3 linked regions of the Drosophila melanogaster genome follow. The protein of the gene in region 1 interacts with the protein of each later gene in a pairwise test. Each region holds a gene or a part of one and is shown in the gene's direction. Other genes may lie near its edges.

Region 1 (7,959 bases):
TGTACATATTTATTTCAATTGATAACTTTGTTAAATATTCAAACATATATTCGCCGCAACTGAGTATATATGAATATATTTAGAATGCAGGACGATTGCATCTGCAATTACTTTTGGTTCGACCTATGTACATTTTTATTCGAAATTTCCACACCAAGTGCAGGATGTCAAATGGCCGAAATGGTTGGGCAAAATAAATGGTGTAACAGCCAATTGAAGGGCCTTTAAGACGACATAAGCCCACTAATAGCTGGACAGCAACTGGGGCTGACTGGGCGAGACAAATGGAAGATGTGTGTCGGTCCATTGGCCTCGGCCAGCCCCTTTGCAATAGCCATCTGGGTAATAGGAGGAGCGAAGGGTCCTGGCCAGGAGAAAACTCTAAGAGAGAGAGAGAGAGAGAGCTGTTCCAGTTGTTGTAGCCGGCGGACCGCAATTGCTGGCGACATTTGCCGGACATTCTACGGCTGCGACAGCGGCATTTTCTGCTCAGAAAACAATGCGAACGCAGGACACAGATACGGATGGGGATGCGGATCCGGATGCGGATGCGAATGCAGATACAAATACGTGGTAGTGGGAGTGGGAATGAATGTGGGCCGGACAGACACTAAGCAGACCGCTGACAACGTGGCGTATGAGCAACATGTTCCAGAACATTGTTATCGGACTCCATTCTAGCATTCTAGCAAGCATACACACCTTTCCACATTTTCACTTTTCCCCCAAAAGCCGGTTTGCAGCTTGGAAAAATGCTCGACAGGAACTTCTTCATTTACATGCATTGCGGACGTGGTCCATTTCACGACGATGTCGCGGCCAGAGTCCATCCATCACGGGCACGTGCTCGTGGCTCCATTTCGGTCTTGGCTCCGGCGACATTTGGGGTAGGGGTTTGGGGTTTTGCAACGGGATATGGCTCTCTTGCCGCGCCCCCTGCAACTTCCAACAAGCTATTTGCGTGAAAATGGTTTTTTTTTTTAATTGAAATCGGAGTGGTCCACTGCGCTAGTTTTATGAAATTCATTCTCTCCTCTATTAAAAAACCACATCAAGTCCTCCATTTGAATCCGTTAATTAATAATGACCGAAAATTTGGCCAGCAACAGTGGCGGGTTTATTTGTGTTTTCGGCAACAAAAATATGTTGGGAAATTCTTTAGTGCTCTTCATGTGTGTTTTTCTATATAAGTTCTTTGTGAAATAGCACAAATCATATTGAAATCATTTAGCTTGAAATTTTATTTTATCTATCTTAAATTTTATTCAAATATATTTAAAATATAAGTTGAAAGCTCAAAGGCCTTAAAGTGAAAACCGAAGTATTTCCCTAACTAATGTTGACATTCGTGCAGCACTCGATGGGTTAACGAAGGACCTAGGTAATCTATTTAGTTCATCTTGCATCTAAATCCCTTTCAATTAGATAAATTAGCTGTGGCCACAGATATCTCCGCACCTGTAAAAAGTTTCCCCACTCACAATCTGGAATTCGTTGGTCCGCAATTAGCGTGGTCACCGTAATGCGGTTGCTTTTGGGTTTTCGGTTTTCGGTTTTGGGTATTCGGATTTCTGGTATTCAGTTGGCCAGGATCATCCCGACCGACAATTTGAGTGGTCTGAGTGGTTTCGATGGTGTAAATATTGTCGCAGCTGGCCAAAAAAAAAAGTGGTGGAATGGCTTCTGCAAAAATAAAGATGACAATGACAATGAGGAAGCGAGGGTGTGGCAAATCCATTTGATTGATTGAATTTAAAGAGCAGCGACAGTCACGCGGGAAAACGGGGGAAAATTACAAGACCGATGTCTGATAATGATAATGGTGGTGATGATGATGATGGTGCAGTGCTGCACGATTTTTATATTGCTCTAGGGAAAGCTCAAATCATTAGAGTGATTAAAGGTCGAGCTGACTTGACAAGAGTTCCTTTGACTTGACTCGGACCCTCATCAACTTGAGCTCTCTCAAATCAGTCATGGAGAATTCTTAAGCTCTAAATTCTGTCAAAATGAATTCAGCCAATTGTAATGTTTTTTTTCCCCCCCGATGAAAGTTTGTACTTATACTGGTAAATTTCTTTCACACTTCTATTAAGCTTACTACGTATTTTAAGCATCTTGACCCTTATCATCTTGTCTCTCAAATCAGCCAAGGATATAGCTTTCAGCATCAAGTTTATGCAAATATACTAAACACGATAAGTCAGCAAAGAAAATGTTGCCAATTGTGTATTTTTTGTGAGACAATTTTACACTGCTAACATTTGTTTAAATTTTCTACAAAATCCAAAACATTTTTCAACATAAAATTTATTTTTAAGACACGCAAAACGAACTAAAAATGCAAAAAAACTAATGAATATACATGCAAAATGTACATTTATTTTTAGGAAACATTCACTATTATATTTTGTTAGCTTTTCTAAAAAAAAAAATAAACTAATTTAGGACCAAAGGTTCCAACTTAGAAAAATTAACACTTTCCCTAAACACATCATTTTAGAAAATACGTATGTAAAGATCTGTTTGTACATAAAACTAAAGAGAAAATTTACGTTTTTTTAGGCTTAAGCAAGACCCACTTATAATTGTTAAATGAATTTTTATTAATTTGTTGTAACCCTGAAACCCGTAGTGAACTTTTTCTAGGTAAAATTTAAGATGAAATTTAGCGATTTTACTAAAAAAAAAAACAGATACAAGCATCAAGAAACTATATTAAAGTATAAAACACTAAAGCTAAAAAAAAAGGAAATCGATAACAATGTGTACTATAAGTCAGCTATGCCTAGGATTAAGTTAAATGTATAATATTTTTTTTTATAAAAACATATACATAAATACTGAAAGTATCAAAATGAACTACAGAGAAACCCAGCAAAAAAGAATATTTAAAACCTTGTCTTTTTTTTCAAAATGACTGCAAGCATTGTAATTGTAATTGTAAATTGTCGAGCGACAAAAAATGTATACACATACGAGCATCCAAATAAATACTTGAAAAAATGCTTCAAAATGTATGGATTAAATGGATATGGCGAAAGAGATAAGAGCATAGAATATACCCTTCTCGCCAAAAATTTTCCTTGCGAGTGTTTGTATTCCCATCTAGGCATTCCTAAAGGAATCCTTAGGACTTTATACCGAAGGGTATTGTGTGTGAGGATTTGTGAGTATCTGAATATCTGAATGTGTGTAAAATAAGCCCAAAGCGATCGAATAAAAATTAATTTTGTGGAAATGTGAACGCAGTTGTTGTCTTAATTCCCGGGTGGCCGCGCTTCAATCGCTCCAAACTCAGCCCGAAAATATGCCATTAGCCGGCAGAACCGGCCCGAAAGTAGATGACACTTGAGTGTGGATCTGTTGGTAAACACGGAACCGGAGGCAATCGGATGGCCCAATTAGAGGGAAACACCCGTATTCGTATTCACATTCAGCTGGACCGCACCGCCCGGAGGTATCACAATCCACAATCATGGCTGAAACGAATAAAGTACGTGGTATCGCGAATAAACAGGTTGTGATGGGCTTTTTAAAGGGTATGTAAGTAGCAGGGATGCTTTACAGATTTTTTAAACTTTTTTTTATGATAGAAATACCAAATAGGATATCGTATTGTACTTATTTAATAGGAAGAAAGGGATGAATATTATTTATTTTCCCAAAGTGGACTATTATTTTTTGTATTCGTGATTGATGGTTTTTTATTTTGGGAGAAGTGCAGTATTTACGAGTCACTAACGTTCTATCTTGTATCTGGCGGATAATCGGGCGTGTATCTGAATCTGGAGCTCGCTGTGCGAAATGCAAATTGTCGCGCGCTTTGCTATTGTTTTCCATAGATTTATGCACTCGGTCGATGCTGCGGCTAATTTGTGGTCAGTCGTGTGAGTGGCCAGCTCATCGGAGTCGGTTTGGAGTCCCATATAAAAGTGAATCGCGCCGGAGGGGTCGGTAGTCAGCGCCCAAGATGCCATCCAATCAGTATCATCTGCTGCAGCTGCACCTGCTGCTCTGCGCCTTGCTCCTGACCTCTGGCCAAAGGACACCGGTTCGCGTTCCGCCGCGAAATCTGCAGGTGCCCAACATTGGGGGCGAGAGCTTCGAGAGATTCGACACCCGATCGGCATCGACGTCGAGCAGCGGAAGCAGCGAGAGCCAGGAGACCAGCGATGAGATGCGGGAGCAACTGAAGCAACTTCTGGGCGACCAGCTGGCCACCGCCTTTGCCCCCTTGGCCACCACGCCATTCACCAGGCGACAGCCGGCCATTGCATCACCCAGCTCGGGGGCGGCTGCCCGTTCCCAGTTCGCCACCGATCCGGATCAGGGCCAGGAAGAAGAGTCCCCGGACCAGGACGGCGAGGCGGAAGAGGCAGAAGAGGAGGAGGAAGACGAAGAGGAGCAGGAGGAGGCCACTCCGCAACCTCAGCCACTGCCACCAGCTCTACCGCAACCAGGAGGCGTCTTGGAGGAGCTGGCTGGTGGTCAGGTGGACGAGGAGCTGGAGGATTATAATGCCTGGCGCGACAATTTCTATGAACTCAACGAAGACGGAAGCTATATCTTTGGGTGAGTTTGCTGGCCGAAAAGCCGTTACCATGACTATTAAAAAGGCGAATTGGAAACTATAGATTTGGCTGTGAACTAAGCCTTCTTCTCATCTTTGGCAAGTAGAGTGGGGAAAACATAACCATTCACTTAACTCGAATTTCAGAACGTTTATCTTAATAACTATATATTTAGGACATTTAATTGATATTATTATTTGGCCAGCTACTCCATTCCCCATGGCATTCGTCGCTGGGAGAAGGGCTACTATTCGGAGGAGCAGCATGGCCGGGTGGTTGAGGGCTTCTATGTCCAGCCCCGTCACGATTCCCAGGGCCTGAGATATGAGCTTCGATGCTACAGAGCCGATTCCGAGGGCTATCAGCCGCGTCCAGGTAACGAATTTTCCTTAGTCCTTATATAGATAAAATATGTTTAAATACATATGTGCACATATTATTGCAGTTGAGTTTCTGAGGACGCCGCCAATTGTGAGGCGCGATGCCATACCGCGTGTTAATTGCTTCCAAAATGCTTAAAAATAATAGACGAAAATAATCCGTAAATAATCAGAAACCAAACGTTGAATGTGTGACTTTAAAATCAAATAACACAAATCTTAACTAAAGAAAGTGGTAACTGCCCTAATTTTTTTGTGCACGAATGTAAATATATGTATGGAAAATGTCCGCAATGTGTGAATAATTTCGATCTAAACTGGTAAGACTGATAAAGTTGGCGCTCTAGTTTTCTAAGAATAAAGACATAAGTTCCACACATAAATTTCAAAATATTAAGCTATCCGCCACATAAATGGCTGAAAATTTATTTGCTTGAAATTAGGAGAGTCCGACCGTATTTTGGTATACTTTATGGCCAAATTCCTTTAAGCACGATTGTTTGGGAATAAAAACAGGAAACCGTGGTCCATAAAGAACTTGAGCGCATAAGAAGCATAACAATCGCTTAACCGACTTCTCGGGGCTTACCCGTACAGTCATCACTTCCTTGTTTGCTTTGGCGCCGCTTTTTGTTTCATTCATTTTATTCGCCTTTATTTTTGCCACTGTGTTTCAGTTGCCTTCGGTTGGTTCTCGGTTTCAAGTTTAATTCAAATGGCATTTTAAAATACTTTTTATTTGTTTTTATTGTCTTTTATTTTCGCTCGCCTCCTCGGTACTCCAGTTCGCTCTACTACACAGAGAGAAACTGTAGATCACTAATCACAGTTTCATTAAATCTTTAACAATATTAGATAACATCAAAAGATATATATATATATTATATGATTTGGTACTTGCAGCCCGAATTTGCCATTCTAATACTCCTAATTTTTGTTTTACCCCACATTTTCTCTCTGTGTACGCGTCCCACCGTGGGCAAACGAGATTTGTAGCTATGTGTGAGCTTGGCGCGGCTTTTGCGGCGTCCCTGACGTGCAGCAGTATTCCCACAGTTTTCAATTTTTGGCGATTTGTTGCGGCACTTAACGGTTGTTTGTTAGCTGTCATTGTTGTTGCTGATGAAGCGCCTTTTGTCTCAACTTCCCGCCGTATCTCCTGCTCTTTCTGCAGCGTTCTGCCCACCGCTACAGGTCGACTTCGCCACAACGGATTGTAGACCTGATGAATTTCTATTAAGCCACAGTTTCTGTATGAGAAAAAGGCAAAAAATTCGGTTTAATGTAGAATGTCATAACTTGCTGAGCTCGTAATTTCATTTCCAATCGATTGGCATTTAAAATGTGGCATTTTATTTTTTCGCCATTTTTTGCAAATTTTGATGATGTTACCCCTTACCGAAAATGCCAAAATTGACCAAAAAATTTATTTCCCTAAATTCTTCAAAAAGTGATATGGATCGTTAGCACTTGTAATTAGCTGCTCAAAACAGTTATTCCTTCATCTGTATGACCAATTTTAACGAAGTTATGACGAAAATTCCGTTTGTAAATATCAAATTTTTGGCAAAAGCTGTTTTTCCGAATTTTGGTCATCAAATAATCAGTTTTTTTGCCACAACTTTAAAAATATTTGTCGGAATATGGAATGTCATATCTCGTCGAGCTTGTAATTAAATCCGCAATCGAACTGTGTCCAAAAATGGGAATTCCATTTTTTCGCAATTTTTTGCAAATTTTGACGATGTTACCCCTTACCGAAAATGCCAAAACTGACCCAAAAATTTTTTTTCCCAAATCCGTCAAAACAGAAATAGGGTTGGTTAGCATTAGTAATTAGCTGCTCAAAACAGTAATTCTTTCATTTTTATGATAATTTTTAGCCAAGTTATGACAATAATGCAATTCAAACAATATTAAATTTTTACCAAAGGCCGTTTTTCCGAATTTCGACCATAAAATAATCAGTTTTTTTTTTTTAATGTTCAAGTTAAGGAGGTCTGCCTGTATATTCTGTGATGGCTGCTCCTGTGTTTTTCTTTTCGCGACTATCCCAAGACGGACGCGCAAATTCTGGGTAAATTGTTTGGTCCAAGTCGCCAAAAGGGGTTGCCCGCATCCACGTCCACGTCCACATCCGCATCCGCATCCACCATAAACCCCCAACCGAATCTGGAGCCACATCCGCGGGTCCCCAAAGTTTGCTTGACTCTGGCTTAAATACGAATTTGCCTAAATCAACAAACGGCGAGAACAGAACATTTTGTGAGTCTTCTTTGCATTTGAAAAGTAAAAAGTAACAAGATTTCATTGTGGCTCATATTGTCCCGTCTATTTGCATATCTTGCGCGTGGCTTTATAGCGCTATACACGGCGTAAATAGATATATACATTTATATATATATATATCTGTATATGCCGACCTTTTGCATTATATAGTCATGCCAAACGAAGGGGCAGGGGCAGACGAGCAACAGAAATAAAAAACAAAAACAGGTTCATTTAGCTCACGTTTTGAACTTTCAGGGATTGATCGTGATTTTTATTGTGGTTTCTGTTTCTGTTTGCTGTCATTTGCATGAGTCAACCACGAGTGAAAAGAGACAATTTCTAAACAAATAAATTCTATTAAATTCTATGCCATCTTAATGTTTGTTCTATTATATTTATGTGTTGTTATATTTACAAGCCAGTTGATACTTGTAATGGTAACAACTGTATTTTAGATTGATTCCCCATAAATAGAAGCCTAAAAAAAAATTAAAATAAATCATCATATACATTTACATACATTTTCGAATCCGTTTTCCACACATTTTTCAACGCAACCCACAGAAAAATGTCATTTTGGTCAACTGAAAATCATGAAGTAATCAACTTAAAGCGAAACTTTGTTGGCCAAACTTTTGCAGATACCACGATACACACAATCAGATACACAGATAAATGGGCCTGAGCTACAAACTTGGCTATAATTGAGCAATTTACACCACAACAAGGACAGT
Region 2 (7,539 bases), on another chromosome or scaffold:
GACACGGGACGTAGTCTACAAATACAATAGTCCGCTGGCAGCGGCGTGAGCCATCAAGGTGTTGGCCGCCTGCTGAGTCTCCAGCATGAGGCGAGCCTCCTTCATCCACTCGCCGGCAATCTTGCGCGATGCACCCTGCAGCAGATTCATGTACTTGAGCGCCTGCAGAAAGTCGCTGCGATCCACATGGTACCTGTGAAACATAATATATATAATATATATTATATAACTCTAGTGATAGATGAATCAATCGCCTCACCTGGCCCTGTTTAGGATATCGTAGGTGTCCAGTTTGCTATAGTCGAAGGGTTTGTTCTCGAGTTCGTCCTTGGATATGGGATTATCGGGTCGCAAGATGAACAGCGATTGCAGATAGGACAGGAAGTAGATGGGCAGGCCGGCTCCTTCCTCGGGCACCAAAGCCAATCGTCGCGCCACGCGCTCCACATTCAGGAAACGCTCGCGCAATGCATCTTCTGGATAGACACCGCGCTCCTGAGCCTCCTTCGGGACGCTTTCCAGCACAGCGGCCACCAGGTCGTCACCCTCTGTAAGCATATGCATTTAGCAACTGAAATCGAAATGTGGGAAACGTTTCAACTTACTAGCCACCTTGGCAATGGCATTGATCTCGTTCTTTAACGGGCGCAACCTATCCTTATAGTGCACGCCAGGAGTGGCAGCGCGCACGGAGGCCCACAGAGCTTGGCAGGCGGCCCAAAGGGCCTGCGCCTGATTGGCAGTACGCTCTGCATCCGCACGCTCTGCAAAAATGTTGCATATAATGTCAATAAACATTTTGATTAAACCAAGAATAAGTTGGTATAAGTACTACCCTTCATATAGGGTGAATATACCTTGAAACTCATCCTCTATCTCTAATATAGCAGCATGTTTTGAAAAGGTTTGAAAACCATTATATATCTAGCCACGCTACACTAGCTACATTCAACCGATATCGTTTAAAACGTATAACTTACCTGCCAGAGCCGCGTCCATTCCGCGCAGCTTGCCGAGCATCCCGGCCAATTGTAACTTATAGTTGGCCTTTTCGGTCGCCAGCTTATCCTCAAGTTCACGCTTAAAGCTTCGCGTCAGATCGGTCTCCCGCTGCGCCACGATGTCCTTTATATGATCGGCGTGGGCCTCTGCTTGCTTTTTGAGCTGCAAGCGCAGCAGCTTATCAGACTCGGCGTGGATGTGGAAGATTTTCTTTTGATTTTCCACGGCCAGTTTGCGCCGCTCGGCCTCCAAATGGTATTCCAGTTGGGCGCGCAAAGCCTCCGAATCGTTGTCACCGCGAACCGAGTCAATAGCTCTCTTCAGGCGCAGCTCACCATCGGTTTGCAAGCGCTGCAGCTCCTTCTGGTAGGCCAGGACATGGGTGTAGGCGTGCAGGATGAACAAGTCTAGGTCCTCCTTTGACAGATTAAGTTTCTTATCCGCCAAACTGAGGCCGGGGAAGATAGACTCGATCTCGTCAATGAAGTAGTTTCGCGCCTTCTCCACATTCCGCCAGTACTTGTCTGACACGCTGGCCGTGTCCTTGTGCCGGTAAAGCTCGTCCTTTACGTTGCCAATGTGGTCCACAAGCTTCTTGATCTTGTCGCGCACTGCCTCTACTTTCTTTGCGTTTTGGGCCGTTGCCGCAGCACTCAGGGCGATCTCGCAGGCGACTGCAGTTGATAGAAGGGAATGTTACTGAAATTTGGAATCTATTTAACAAACAATGGACTTACCAATCTTCTCCTGAGCCTCACGGGCAGCTCGCTCTGCCGTAGCCACTGCCGTATCACGGGCACTTGCTCGATTTTTCAGCGTGGTCCAAAGAGAGTTCTCTCCATTCTCTACGGCCTTGTCTACAACCTTACGGACATCGTCATTAAAGCTGAACGATATTTGATTAAATTTAAAATCACGCAACGAATAGTTAACGAGAATTGCTCACCCTTTCAAAACGCCAATAGCGACGTTGTACTCCTTGACGGCCAGTTGAGCAGACAGCTCGATGGCTTTCTCCAGCTCAACAACATCGCGGGGCAGCGGATTATCCTTAGGCTTGGCAGCGGGCGCAGGCGCTGCTGCTGCTGCTGGCTTCGACACTGGCTTCGCTTCAGTCTTGCTGACTTCGCTTGGTTTTGAGGGTCTCTTTTCCTCAGCAGGAGTGGCCTTCACGGGCTCCACTTTGGACTTCTTGGACTTGTCATCGCCGCTGCCGCCGCCAAACAGGCCCGTCACCTTAGATGTAACGGAGTCCACCGTGGACGTCACTGTCTCGATGCCAGACTTGACCTTATCGATCTGATCGTTGACGTTCTTGGTGATGCCCTTGAATGGCGGTTCCTCCTGCAGAGCCACCTTGATGACGGATCCTGCGCCGGGTACATTCTTCTCCACCAATTTGCGGAAGTCGTCGTCGTATCTGGAAAAGGATTTCTACATTATTCGATGGTTCATTTAAGCATTTCAGGTGCAATAAAATGTGTACGAATTTTTGTTGATCTACAGGTGGACTGCCTATCCTTATCTTAAACCTCTATTGTGGCTCTATTTACTTGGCGTAGGTGATGACACCGCCGACAGCTGCCAGTGGTGAGACGAAGAGGACCACTTTGCCGAAGCCAGCTTCGCGCATATGCGGTGGCAGGCTCTGGTATCCTTGATATCCTTGATCGCCTTGCTGTCCCTGCTCCTCCTGCTGCCGCCTGCCCTGTTCCCGGCCGCCACTTCCGCTGCTGCTTCCGCCGAATTGCCTGTTGTTTGCGGTCGTCTGCTGCAGCGTACGCTGTTGCAATGAAAGGTAATACATTTAGGACCATCACATTTAAGGAAATTGGCAAGCCCGTTGATACCCCCGCGCCCTTGGTCAACTGGAATTTTGGAGCTTTTCGCCCAATTCCTGGGCTTGGTAGATGACATAACCAGCGCCTCTTGTTGTATTTTCGCCAACCGCTTGTTTGTGGGCGCGCGGGGGTGTGGGGCAACGTGACGATCGATTTTCACGTTATCAAATAGCTAGAAATGAATGGGTCAAAAATTCACCTGCAGGGCGCACTTGCACTGATCTCGCACCGCTAGCCGATACATGGTGTTGATTTTGCTGTGATCCTGCTCTGCTCGTGCTCCTGCTCCTTCGGCTACCGTAAATTTCAAGTCCCGGCGGCGTGAATTAAATATTGCCCAATTCGTTCGAAGCTGGCTCGACTGCGTCAGCGCTGGTGGGTGAATGGCTGGCCAGTGCTGCTGCTTCCTCTTCCATTCCCCACACTCCCACGCACACGCACACGAGTCCTGCGTGCTGCTCGTCGTCCTTTTCGTTTCGCTTGCCCGCGCCACTCGAATTTGATCACTCAATTTTGGTTTGTGTTTTGATGGAAAAAGTGTCGGCAACATATACGCATGTACTCGATAGGCCAGTCAAAATACATTTGATTTGGAGATGGGCGCATAAGTTTAAGCAACAATTTTTATAACAAGTTTTAAATTGTCAGAATTGTCAGTGTTCTACAAATGGATTACATGGTTAAGGGATCCTTTTGCCTTAATTGTTATCAACGAAAAATTGAACTTGATCCATTCCTTGGGTGAATCCCAAAACATTTGCGATAGTTCTTATGATGACCGGTTCCCATCTCCAATAGCAAGCTAATCTATGTTTGTTCGCTGTGAATGGCACACAGCTGACTGTTACGCGATTCGATAAGAAGAAGAGCACCTGCGTTTTGTATGGAATTATAGGTTTATCTTTGTCGTTTTAAGTGAAATGCTAAGAACTTTTGTGACAAGCGGTAAGTTGAAGTCAGCTAATAGGGCTTACAAGTTTACGTTACTTTAATTGTTCTTAACTTTCAGCGCTGCGAAGCGTTTGCCGCCAGTCGCCGGCTGCATCTTCGTTGGTTCCTCTGGTCCAGCGGACACAACGTGCCACTTTGATGACTCTATCCCGTCCGTGCCTGTTGCCCACGCCATCACTGGCATCTCCTGCTCATCACCAGCTCCTGCAGCTGCCGGGTGTGCTAGCAGCCACAGGAACACCATCAAACACACGCAACGTGACCAAATTCTCGCTGGTGAAGGGTAAACGAAAGACCGTCAAGGCGGTACTGAAACGTTTTAAGCGCCTGGACTGGGGCGCCTGGATACGCACCCATTCCGGTCGCCAAAAGAAGCTCTTCAAGAAATCCGCAGCTTTACGACGCCGCCTCAAGCAGCACGTCTTCACCAATGCCACGCAGAGCTGGCTGCTGGACAAGATGGTCACCAGCTATTGGCGGCGCCCAAAGCATTTCATCAACGATCCCTATAAGCCCTATCACAGCCGCAACGAGTACTACGCCACACAGTCAAAGACCTTTAAGGTGTGACCTGGCTAATCAAAGATACTACATACTTGAATTAAACAAAACCAAAATATCTGATTATAGTTTATCTATTGAAAACTACAAAATCATCTATTAAATGCCATTGTTTCACTAATAACACAAACTTTACAAACACAACAAGCCAAATGAGTTGACAATCTTAGGGAGCCACAATCTTGTTGCACAGCTTGCCCAATCCAACAATCTCCGACTGCACGACATCACCGGGCTGAAGGAATTCCGGCGGAGTGCGATGCATGCCCACGCCCTTGGGCGTTCCGGTGACTATGATGTCGCCGGGCAGCAGGGTAATGGTCTGCGACAGACGATTGATCACATCGTCCAGCTTGAAGATCAAGTTGCCGGTATTGCCGTTCTGCTTCTCCACGCCGTTGACCCAGGTTTTCAGATTCAAGTTGTAAACATCCGGCACCAGACTCTTGTGCACCACAGCCGGTCCCAGCGGCAGAAAAGTGTCCATCGACTTGCCCATAAGGAACTGACCACCGTTGCGTTCCTTCTGCCAGTCGCGGGCGGAGATATCCTGGGCCACCGAATACCCGAAGACATAGTCCATGGCCTGCGATTTGGGCACCTGGCGGGCGACCTTGCCAATGACACAGACCAGCTCAACCTCCCAATCGATTTTCTGTGGAATTTTTTTTTGGTCGGTTGGTTATCTCGATGAGCCTATCTCTTGTTATCTCTTGCTTCACTTACGCTGCTGGCCGCATGAGCGATGACATTATCTTGAGGACCCACCAGGGCATTGTTAAACTTGCTAAAGAACAATGGTTCCTTGGGGGTCGGCTTGTTCTGCTCATCGCAGTGGTCCTGGTAGTTCAGACCTGCAAGCAGATCGAGAATACGTCATTTTGAAGGTCAGGGTCCAACTACATATGTTTATACATATGTATGTTAATTCATTCTTTACCAATGCAGATGATCTTGCCGGGATCGGTAAGAGGCGGCAGCAAAGTGACATCATCATTCACCTCGAGTCGCGGCTGCTTTTCGGCCTTCTTCGCCAGTTCCTCCAGATTGGGATCCTGGGCAATCAGGATCTTTAGATCGCTGGGCACACCCTCCAAGCCGGCAAATTCCACCAGCGACTTTTGATCCTCGGACAGTAGACCAAGTCGCTTGGCCAAGTCACCTTTTCGCAGGTATTGAACGAACCTCATTCTGGCAGCTTGCATTTATGACTGATTTACGTCGAACGAATCTATCGCGGCTATCCAATTAACGCTCCAGTGGCCAAACTCGAATCTCACGTAATGAGGGCACCAGCAATCAGTTAAAGAATTTACACGCGCTTTTCAACACTGCCAGACATTAACCCCCTGAAGCCGCAGGTGTTAGAAAAGCATCATACATATAAACATACATATAATGTTATGGGTTGCATATCAACTTTTTATCAGAAAATGTATGTTAAAAAAGTTAAGAAACGTCTAAAGTTATATTCTATTTACTATACATTTTTTAAATTTGTAGTAATGATAAAAAAGTAGTAAACGTATTTTTATAATTTCGCAATCATTTTAAAGAGCATATAAATAAAATATAAAACTAAAGATTAAGAAAAAAAATTTTTACAGGCATTTTGAACAGATGAGAATTCTGCATATACATAAGTATATCAATAAAAAAAAACTTTAATTAATATATTCCTCCACAATGCTATCAACTCGTTACTGGATAATTCGAAATCCTTAAAAGGATTTAAGTAAAGAATAAAATAAAAAGCAAAACCACATTCGAATTTTGGTGTTCAGAAGTCAAGATTCAACATTTATTTAAAGAGAGGGCTCAACATCGTTTCGCTTCGCAGCGTCTTAAACGCATTTAACCAAACTCCCTCTTCCATCCATTCGATAACTTAAGCCGATTTTGTACCTATAGCGATCATCTAAATATGCATTCCATCTAGTCGCTACCAGCGGTCACTTTGCCGCCATCCGCGCTGCCAAACTTCTCAAACAGCTCGTACTTCCAGCGCATGTAAGCTACGCGCATTCTGTCCCAAACGTTGTCCACGGAGTCCATGGCTGGGCGCACATCCAGCAGGGCAAAGCGGTAGTCTTTGTCCACCAGTCCACCGTCGTAGTAGTCGATGACGTAGCGCACATCCTTGCCGCAGCGATCGACTATCCAGTCATGCCTATCGAATGGCAGCTCGTATCTGTAAGACAATTCGAACATTAATTCAGGTGAGATCTTCCGTCTGGAGTATACTCACCCCAGCCAGCTGCGGAATCGAGCGCGCGGACTGAAGTCCTTGGCCTTGCCACCGAAACTCTTGAGGCGCGGATTGCCGCATTCCTTGGCGTGAAGCGCCTCCCACTTAAGTACCTCCTGCCAGGCCTGCTCGTTGTTGGCATTGTGGATGCGTATGATGTCGCCCATGTCCTTTTGCGATACGTCCTCGGTCTTCCAGCGCCAGCCCTTGCGTAGCATGGCGTTCCAGAACATCTGTTGGCTGGGATACTGCCAGAATTGAACGCTGCCATCCTCGGTGACTTTGGGAATGGTCGACGTCTGGCGGTCGGTGGGCAGTGGAAAGGGCTGATCTGCCGCCGGCTGTTGGTTTGCCGGTGGCATCATATTCAGCGGATTAACGTCGCTGTTGTCGTGCTGCACCGGACATTCGGAAGCGGCCTGCATCTTGGGATGTGGGGGTACGGCGGAGGCCGATTTTGCATCTCCATGCTTCTGATGCATGGGGCATTCTGGTGGCGGGGCACCACTGCCGCTCATGTACTTGGCGTGGTCCACCGGCACACTCTTCGTGGCCTCCATTTGCACTCGGGTGATGGCTGTATTGCCCATTTCTGCTGGGGATTGGTTAATAACAAAATCTGTGTCACGAGGAAAATCGCATTAGTTCTCAGTTGCGTAACTGTAAGGAGTGGGTTACACTCCCAGTGCTGGGCCCCAACGCCAGGACTTACTCGATCCTAATGGTCACAACTCTCGATATTTGTCGATCTTCTCCTGGAGCCTTTCGCCTTAAATTTTGATTTATATTTTCGTTAGTTCATCGTTAGAACTTTTGAGCCCAAAATGCAGCGAGGTTGTGGTCAGGGCTGCCAGACCAACGGAAAGTGGACCAGTTGTTTCTGCACCGTGACAATATGTTAAGTTAAAAATTTAAAAAATCAACTCGCACCGCACG
Region 3 (7,780 bases), on another chromosome or scaffold:
GTTTTAAGTGTTACAAATCATTCCACTTATGTTATAATCCTTTAAAATTATATCAAACCCTTTGGAAATTGTGATTTATATTTCAATAAATTAAATATTGCATTTTTTCTTAGATGATAATACCATCTGCCTGTATCGAGAGTACAACACCACTTATCGAAAGGAGATTGGCGCAGTGTGGTTTGCCTCAAAGGATCCATGTTTGGTGTATTCCTGTGCAGCTGGTGTGGCCAAGGATCCACAGGCGCATATTGTGGCCACCCAAGTCGACTGCAATGAGTTCTACTGTGAAGTGGTAAGTGACCACTAAGTCCTATAACTATTGTACAATATTATCATCCTGTCCATGTGTCTTTGCATTGCAGGGTTCCGAGCTGCGTAGTGTCGAAGGCAGTTGCTGCGGGGAGTGTGTAAGGACTCACTGTCAACACAACCACACTCTGTATGCGGTGGGTGAATCATGGCACAATGATGCCGATTGCACGCTCATCGAATGTGGACGTCTGGATAATGGACAGATTGTAATGAATACATACAAGAGAAATTGTCCGGCTTTGACTGAAGATTGTCCAGCTTCAAGATTGGAGGAGCGAAACTGTTGTCCCTACTGCAGGCCCCTCCAAACGGCCAGGATTGAGGAGCTGCAGGACAATGTAGCGGAGAGCACGGATGATATTTGGACAGCCGAATGGTATCGAAACCATCCCTGCAATCGGGATTGTCAAGTGGGAGCCGAACCCATGACCTGTCGCTACAAGTTCGTGGTGGAATGGTACCAGACCTTTTCCAAAGCCTGCTACGATTGTCCACGGAATCTTACGGACTGCTCCCGACCACATTGTGTCATGGGCGATGGTTTAGAGCGGAGTATCACTGTGGTCAATCGTATGATGCCCGGGCCAGCGATTGAAGTCTGTGAGGGCGATGAAATAGTGGTCGATGTGAAGAATCATTTGTTGGGCGAAAGCACATCGATTCACTGGCATGGTCTGCACCAGAAGAAGACACCCTATATGGATGGTGTACCACACATCACTCAGTGTCCAATTACTCCACATGCGACCTTCAGGTATTCCTTTCCAGCCGATCTCTCCGGCACTCACTTCTGGCATTCGCACACTGGCATGCAGCGAGGTGATGGAGTTTTCGGTGCCTTAATCATCCGGAAACCAAAGACAGCCGAACCACACGGAGGACTCTACGACTTTGACCTCAGCGAGCATGTGATGATTGTCCAGGATTGGATACATGACACAGGTGCCAGCATATTTTCCTATCATCATCACTCCCGAGGTGATAATAAGCCCCACAATCTGCTCGTGAACGGCAAGGGACGTTACTATAATCGCATTTGGGCGGAAGCGAAGCAAGCTCATCGCAGAGCTGAGGAGAGAACTACCCAACCGGTGGAACCATTGCCCAAGTCCCAGGTGGACTTCGTTCAGACACTACCGAGACAAGCTCGATTGGCTAAAACTAATACAACCAAACTATTTCCCGTGAATTCCCGCCAAAAGAGGGGTAATTTAAATGAGATACCCTTGGAACTAGTTCCCCATCAGATTTACACAGTGAGAAGAGGTTTTCGTTATCGCTTCAGAATTATAAATGCGGAATATCTAAACTGTCCTATTGTGGTGTCTATTGACGGTCATAACTTGACAGCCATAAACTCGGATGGCTTTGATATTGAGGCAATGGACGTGGGCTCTATAGTTACCTATTCCGGTGAGCGATTTGATTTTGTACTAAATGCCAATCTCGAGGTTGGAAACTATTGGATTCGACTAAAGGGTTTGATGGACTGCAGCGAAGTCTTTACTTCCGCCTTTCAAGTGGCCATTCTTCGCTATGAGGGAGCTCCAGATGAAGAGCCTACTGCGGAATTGAGTTACGGCCACAAGGCTGAGGGCATTGAACTGAATGTGATGAACCGCGGTCCTGGTTACCCGGACACCAAAACCGTTGCAGAAATGAGGGCTCTGCCCATCTATGATCATGTCTCGGGCATCGATCACGATACACTGAAACCGGAAGCGGACTACAAGTTCTTCATCTACTACGATTTCTATACTAAGAATAATCCCGATTTTCACGATAAAGATCTTTATGCCATGGACATGGAGATGACCCAGCAGAATCGCCTATACACGCCTCAACTGAATCATATAACCTTAAATTTTCCTTCGCTAGCACTGCTACCTTCCAGGAGTCAGCTAAAGGACTCGGACTTCTGTAACGAAACGAGCTTAATGGATCAGGGTATCGATTGTCGCCAGGAGTTCTGCAAGTGTCATCATGTCCTGCAGGTTCCATTGGGCGCCGTGGTCGAGATGATCATCGTGGACGAGGGATTCCAATACTATGCCAATCATCCCTTTCATTTGCATGGAAACGCCTTCAGAGTCATGGGATTGGAGCGTTTGGGCGAAAATGTCACCGTTGAAATGGTTAGTAACTTTGTTCGAAGGAAATAAAAAATATTTATTTAACTTGTAACTATTTATATTCTCAAGATAAAACAACTGGATCAGTTCAATCTACTCAAGCGGAATCTGGACAATCCACCCGTGAAGGACACAGTTACTATTCCAGATGGAGGCTATACCATCATCAGATTCGAGGCCTCTAATCCGGGCTATTGGCTTTTCCATTGCCACATCGAATTCCATGCCGAGATCGGTATGGCTCTGGTCTTCAAAGTGGGTAACGACGATCAAATGGTTCCGGTGCCAGAGAACTTTCCCACCTGCGGCGATTATAATCCAGACTTAAGATCTGATGGAGGAACTACAGAAGATTCGGGATCCAGCAAGCCGATAACAGCTACTCCCCCAAATACAGGAGGCGGTGGATCGGGTCTGGAACCCACTTGGATTACATTGATGATTAGTTCCATGCTAGTGAAACTCTATCGATAAGAGCTGGCCTTCAAAAGAGAGCACAATCCAAACTTGCCAAACGAAATTTAGAGATTATTTATTGAAGAGTTGGAAAGATCGTGTAGATCAAATTGATTTTGATTGATGTAGAAATATATTTGTTTTCCGGCACCTGTACATATTCCATACAAAAATATTCGCATCGTTGTAGCATAAGCATCTGTGATTGTCTAAGAAAATGTTTAAATAAGTCATTTAAATAAATATCTAAATGTTTTTGTAAGATTTTTGGTGTTTCTAATGAAGAGGTAGAATCTTATAATCATGAGTGTAAAATTGCTCTCAAAGATATATATTGAAAAACAAATTTTAACTTTAATGTACATATATATAGAATTCCACAAAACGTAAAATAAATCTGTTTCAAATGTTCCTAATTATTGCAACAATTTATTCGGCAAATTCTACAATTTTATTGTATAATGAGGAACCCAGTCGAAATATTGATATTTCGTCAGGTGGCTGGAGATCAGATGAACCAGCCAACGACCTCGTCGTCGAAAGCTGTCTTATCTGGTCCCTTCTGGCAACAGCTGGCTACGGTCTTGTTGTCGTCTTTTCCAACTCAAAATATCAGGAATGGACAGGGACCTGATCTTCACCCGTTGACCCGATGAAGATAGCTGAAATTATGGCGATGTTATTGCAATCCGAATAAAGTCATCACATTAAATGCGCTGGACATCTGGAATCGGTGCATCTGTGGTGTTATATAAGAGCAGCCACCTACTAGCTTAACATCAGACAGAGTTAGTCACTCATCACATCACAATCCAAGCCACGTCAACCCCAAATAATTAACCCCAAGCAAAAATGTTTGACTGGACCGGTAAGAATGTTGTCTATGTGGGCAGCTTCAGCGGCATTGGATGGCAGATGATGATGCAGCTGATGCAGAAGGACATCAAGATGATGGGCATTATGCATCGCATGGAGAACGTTAAGATGATGAAGAAGCTGCAGGCCATTAATCCATCCGTGAAAGTGGTCTTCATGCAAATGAACCTCATGGAAAAGATGTCGATCGAACAGGCGATGAAGAAAATGGGTCAAATGATGGGACACATTGATGTGATGATCAATGGCGAGGGTGTCCTGCTCGACAAGGATGTGGAGACTACGATGGGCATGAATCTGGTAAGGAATAGATAATTAAATTATTGATTGGTATCTCAACTTCTAAATCCTTTCCCACAGACTGGCATGATCCAGTCGACGATGATGGCCATGCCCTACATGGACAAGACACAGATGGGCATGGGTGGCATGGTGGTTAACATGTCCTCTGTCTATGGCCTGGAACCCGCGCCCGCCTTTTCTGTCTACGCCGCTGCCATGCACGGCATCCTCGGATTCACCCGCTCCATGGGCGACAAGATGATCTACCAAAAGACCGGCGTCATGTTCATGGCCATGTGCCCGGGACTCACCAACAGCGAGATGATTATGAACCTGCGCGACAACGTTACCTGGCACCACTCCGAATCCATGGTGGAGGCCATCGAGAGCGCCAAGCGCCAAATGCCCGAGGAGGCAGCCATGCAAATGATCCACGCGATGGAGATGATGAAGAACGGCAGCATGTGGATTGTGAGCATGGGCCAGCTGAAGGAGGTTACGCCCACGATGCACTGGCAGATGTAAATGGCTTAGTTGAGCGATTATTTGTTAAATCATTTCAAAAAAAAAAATATATAAAAATATTAGGCCTCCCAGTTTGTTTCTTGTTCAATCTAGCTACCATTTACAAATATTTCTTATCTTATAACGATTCCGTGTAGAGAGTATAACTAAATACTTACAAAATTTTGTTTTCCATTGAGATCGTCTTATAAAAATATTTTTTATATAAATATTGGTTCAAAATTTGCAAGACTCGGCTTCTTACCAACAGATGTACCATGTCGAATTATAGGGTTACATATAAAAATCGATGCATTAGCTGTGGCGTCGAAGTACCAGTCCTTTCCACAAATGGATGCCATTTCAAAGTTCAGGACAAATTTAATTCTTGTGGCTCCAAAATAAGCAATCCTCGAAAACGGCCGAGTCAAATAAAAAGGCACAGGAATATTTCTCAAAGAAAGCTAAATAATGGTTTTAAATGGTCTTCATCATCTACGAAAAAACGATTCTATCCGTTAGTAAAGAAACAAAAATTGTTGATGTCCTCAGAGCCCTCTCATAAGGCTCTAATTTTAAGAGAGATGATTAGGTTAGGAAGAAAACCGAATCGAAAGTTCGAAAAGGCTGCGAGAAATAGTGTATTTCCGGGTAAGTAATCATAATGCAATTTAAACATATCATAACGAAAACTTTAATTCTTAGGCATCTGCCGTACGATATTGAAACTGCACCAGTATACTAATCTTGTACAGTAGAGATTACTGATGTCACAGATTCTTTTGAGATCAAAGTCCCCACCATATGGAATCATTTGGATGGATGGATCAATGGATGTAGATGAAATGGGTACATGCAGACATATATTTTTAGAAGAATCAATGGAAATTTAAGTATTTAAATATTTATTAAGCTAACGTACTTATATTGTGTACAACAGTTTTCAATTAAATGGAATAGGAAAATAAAGTCCTGGATGAGGTACATTTACATTGTAAATACCAGAAATGACAGCTTATTGTAAATAGTTTAATATACATTTATTATCACATGGTAAAGTCTGTATGATTGACGTATTTTTCGAATTAAGTATTTGAACTATTACTGCAATTGTTTCCCTCAATCCTCCGATTGAGCTCAGCATCAAACTCTGCGTCATTGAAACCGATGTCTCGACGGAAGAACTCATCGAGTACCTTAGCTTGGCACTGGCCTACCTCCATTGCGGCTCGCCAATCCGCGACATTTTGAGGAATTTTCTGACCCTCCATCTTAGCATACACCGGTTCCAGGGGACAATTGTAATGACGCAAGTCGGCCTTCACGTTCCTGGCAGTATTGATTACATGGTAGCACACTGCACACTCGAACTTCTCAAAGAGTGATGCTCCCGGAGAAGAATCGCCTATGTGGTACTGGCGCGTGACAAGGTTGTGGAGTAGCTTTTTGTTGGAAATGGGGTTACGCCGATTTAGTTTGTGTTGGCGGTACGAATTGTACAGCTTTTTGTTATCCGCCAACTTATTGAGATACTCTACCAATGCCTGAGGATTTTGAAAGTCGTTCACAAAAATTGCAGATTTATTATTCGGTTCCCAGTCCTGCAATATTTGTAGAATGTAATAAAAAAAAAATTGTGAAAATTATTATTTGAAATACGGACTTACTTTTATGGTGGGTGAGCCAAAGTAAATTGGAATAACTCCCATTATCAAAGGACGCCAAAACTTTTCGGTAATATAATCCGGACAGGCAGCGTTCTCAATGGCAATCATGAACTTGTATTCGGACAGGAAACGCAGCAACTCCGGTGAATATAAATTATTCAAGTAATCCTTCTGCAAGCTAAAACAAAATCAATAGGCATTGAACAATTTTTACGATTTCGATTGCAAATTAGATATTAGTGTTTTTCAGCTCGACATGAAGGGCATCCGCATCTTCCGTTGCTATCTTGGTCAGAATCATTTGAACTATTTTGAGACTCCATTATTGAATCGTCATCACAGAAAAGAGGTTCTTCTAGATCTTTATGATTTCCCTGACGACAGCAGCATTCTCTGGAAACGTTGCTCATTTGAGGCAGCGAGCCGTACAACTGCACCCAGCACTCTGAACAACAGACCTTGGGAAGCTCGTTGGCACTTGGTGATGTCATGATGGCAAAGGAATTTTAGAACGATAGTGTTTCACGTGATGTGTTTGTCACGCGTGTTTGTTATGAGTGTGTAAAATGTTTGGGATTATAAATAGGATACAAATGGAATAGCCTACTTGCCTCTCTGGCAGATCTCTATTCCGTAGGCAGCTGCCGTAGGAATCGATCGGAAGATGTTTCATCAGTTCCTTTACGTAGTCCTCCCTTCCAGACATCGTGTCGCAGTCGCTTTGGAGGAACACCACCGATGTGGATGGACGGTATCCGTACTTTGACTTGCCGTCAAACGTAACATAGTAATCCTTCGAAGTAAGCGCCTCGCCACTGGGCAAGTACATCGTAGTCAGCGGCAAGTTGCTGTAGCGGCTAAACGTGGATGTGAAATGGAAGTGGCGAAGGAACTCTTTATTGGACACAAAAGGGGTGTTCCTTGGTGATTCTTCATGCAGTAGGGCCCAGATTTGGTGCTCGTTCCGAGGCAGGGGAAAGTCTCCCGTCTTTATGTTTGAGCCGTAAAACAGGACGCCCTGTGAAAAATGTAAGAGACATTCCGTTATTATTATATCAAATTACAATGAATCTACAATTACATATCTTACTGAAGTAAGCGAATTTGTATCTGCAGTGCTATGCATTTCTCAGTCTAAGCTATGTGTTTACATATTTTTCAGAACTATGGTACAGTATCTCAAACAGTTGGAGCCCTATATTATTATTATTTTCAATCCAATTCTTATCATGTCTGCCGGATGTGAAACAAAAAGAAATCTAGACTTTTGGTTTTTGAAACGAACCCGGGCCCACGGACGGCGGCTCCGCTTGTTGGTGATGCGGCAAGTATGAATTCCGCACTGGCGCTGCACGTCGTAATTCCAGGACATATCCCTGGACCACCAGACCAGCTCCACAGGACTGTTGAACTTGATGTTTTCGTAGTTAATGATATTTTCCGACCAGAAGAACAATACGGTCGCCCCAACCATAAGCAGCGCAACCAGTGCAATTCCGTAACGTTGTGCCAGTCGCATGATTATCTTTGCAGTTCTTTGCTAGCTAG

The links. The genes of interacting proteins can lie anywhere in the genome.
Region 2: the proteins of CG15754 (region 1) and mRpL35 interact in a two-hybrid assay, tested with the Drosophila melanogaster proteins (one large-scale study listed by BioGRID).
Region 3: the proteins of CG15754 (region 1) and Fbp2 interact in a two-hybrid assay, tested with the Drosophila melanogaster proteins (one large-scale study listed by BioGRID).

What each region holds. Positions count from the first base shown.
Region 1 is NC_004354.4:13,524,040-13,531,998, forward strand, and holds CG15754 (uncharacterized protein), read left to right. Parts: upstream 1-3,966; 5' UTR 3,967-3,973; coding exon 3,974-4,575; intron 4,576-4,717; exon of another isoform or gene 4,718-4,779; coding exon 4,780-4,949; exon of another isoform or gene 4,950-5,019; coding exon 5,020-5,093; 3' UTR 5,094-5,241; downstream 5,242-7,959. Other genes in the region: CG44428 (uncharacterized protein), read right to left, coding at 5,778-6,065.
Region 2 is NT_033777.3:22,019,845-22,027,383, forward strand, and holds mRpL35 (mitochondrial ribosomal protein L35), read left to right. Parts: upstream 1-3,682; 5' UTR 3,683-3,763; coding exon 3,764-3,788; intron 3,789-3,852; coding exon 3,853-4,364; 3' UTR 4,365-4,497; downstream 4,498-7,539. Other genes in the region: mitofilin, read right to left, coding at 16-193, 260-548, 606-764, 858-878, 981-1,676, 1,740-1,888, 1,949-2,422, 2,556-2,785 and 1 more; CG6028 (uncharacterized protein), read right to left, coding at 4,522-5,010, 5,082-5,209, 5,296-5,560; Cchl (cytochrome c heme lyase), read right to left, coding at 6,291-6,546, 6,604-7,193.
Region 3 is NT_033779.5:9,423,180-9,430,959, forward strand, and holds Fbp2 (Fat body protein 2), read left to right. Parts: upstream 1-3,604; 5' UTR 3,605-3,755; coding exon 3,756-4,079; intron 4,080-4,139; coding exon 4,140-4,586; 3' UTR 4,587-4,738; downstream 4,739-7,780. Other genes in the region: Mco1 (multicopper oxidase 1), read left to right, coding at 114-295, 366-2,450, 2,517-2,921; CG42847 (uncharacterized protein), read left to right, coding at 4,844-5,216, 5,271-5,323; FucTB (alpha1,3-fucosyltransferase B), read right to left, coding at 5,651-6,166, 6,233-6,410, 6,844-7,250, 7,518-7,751.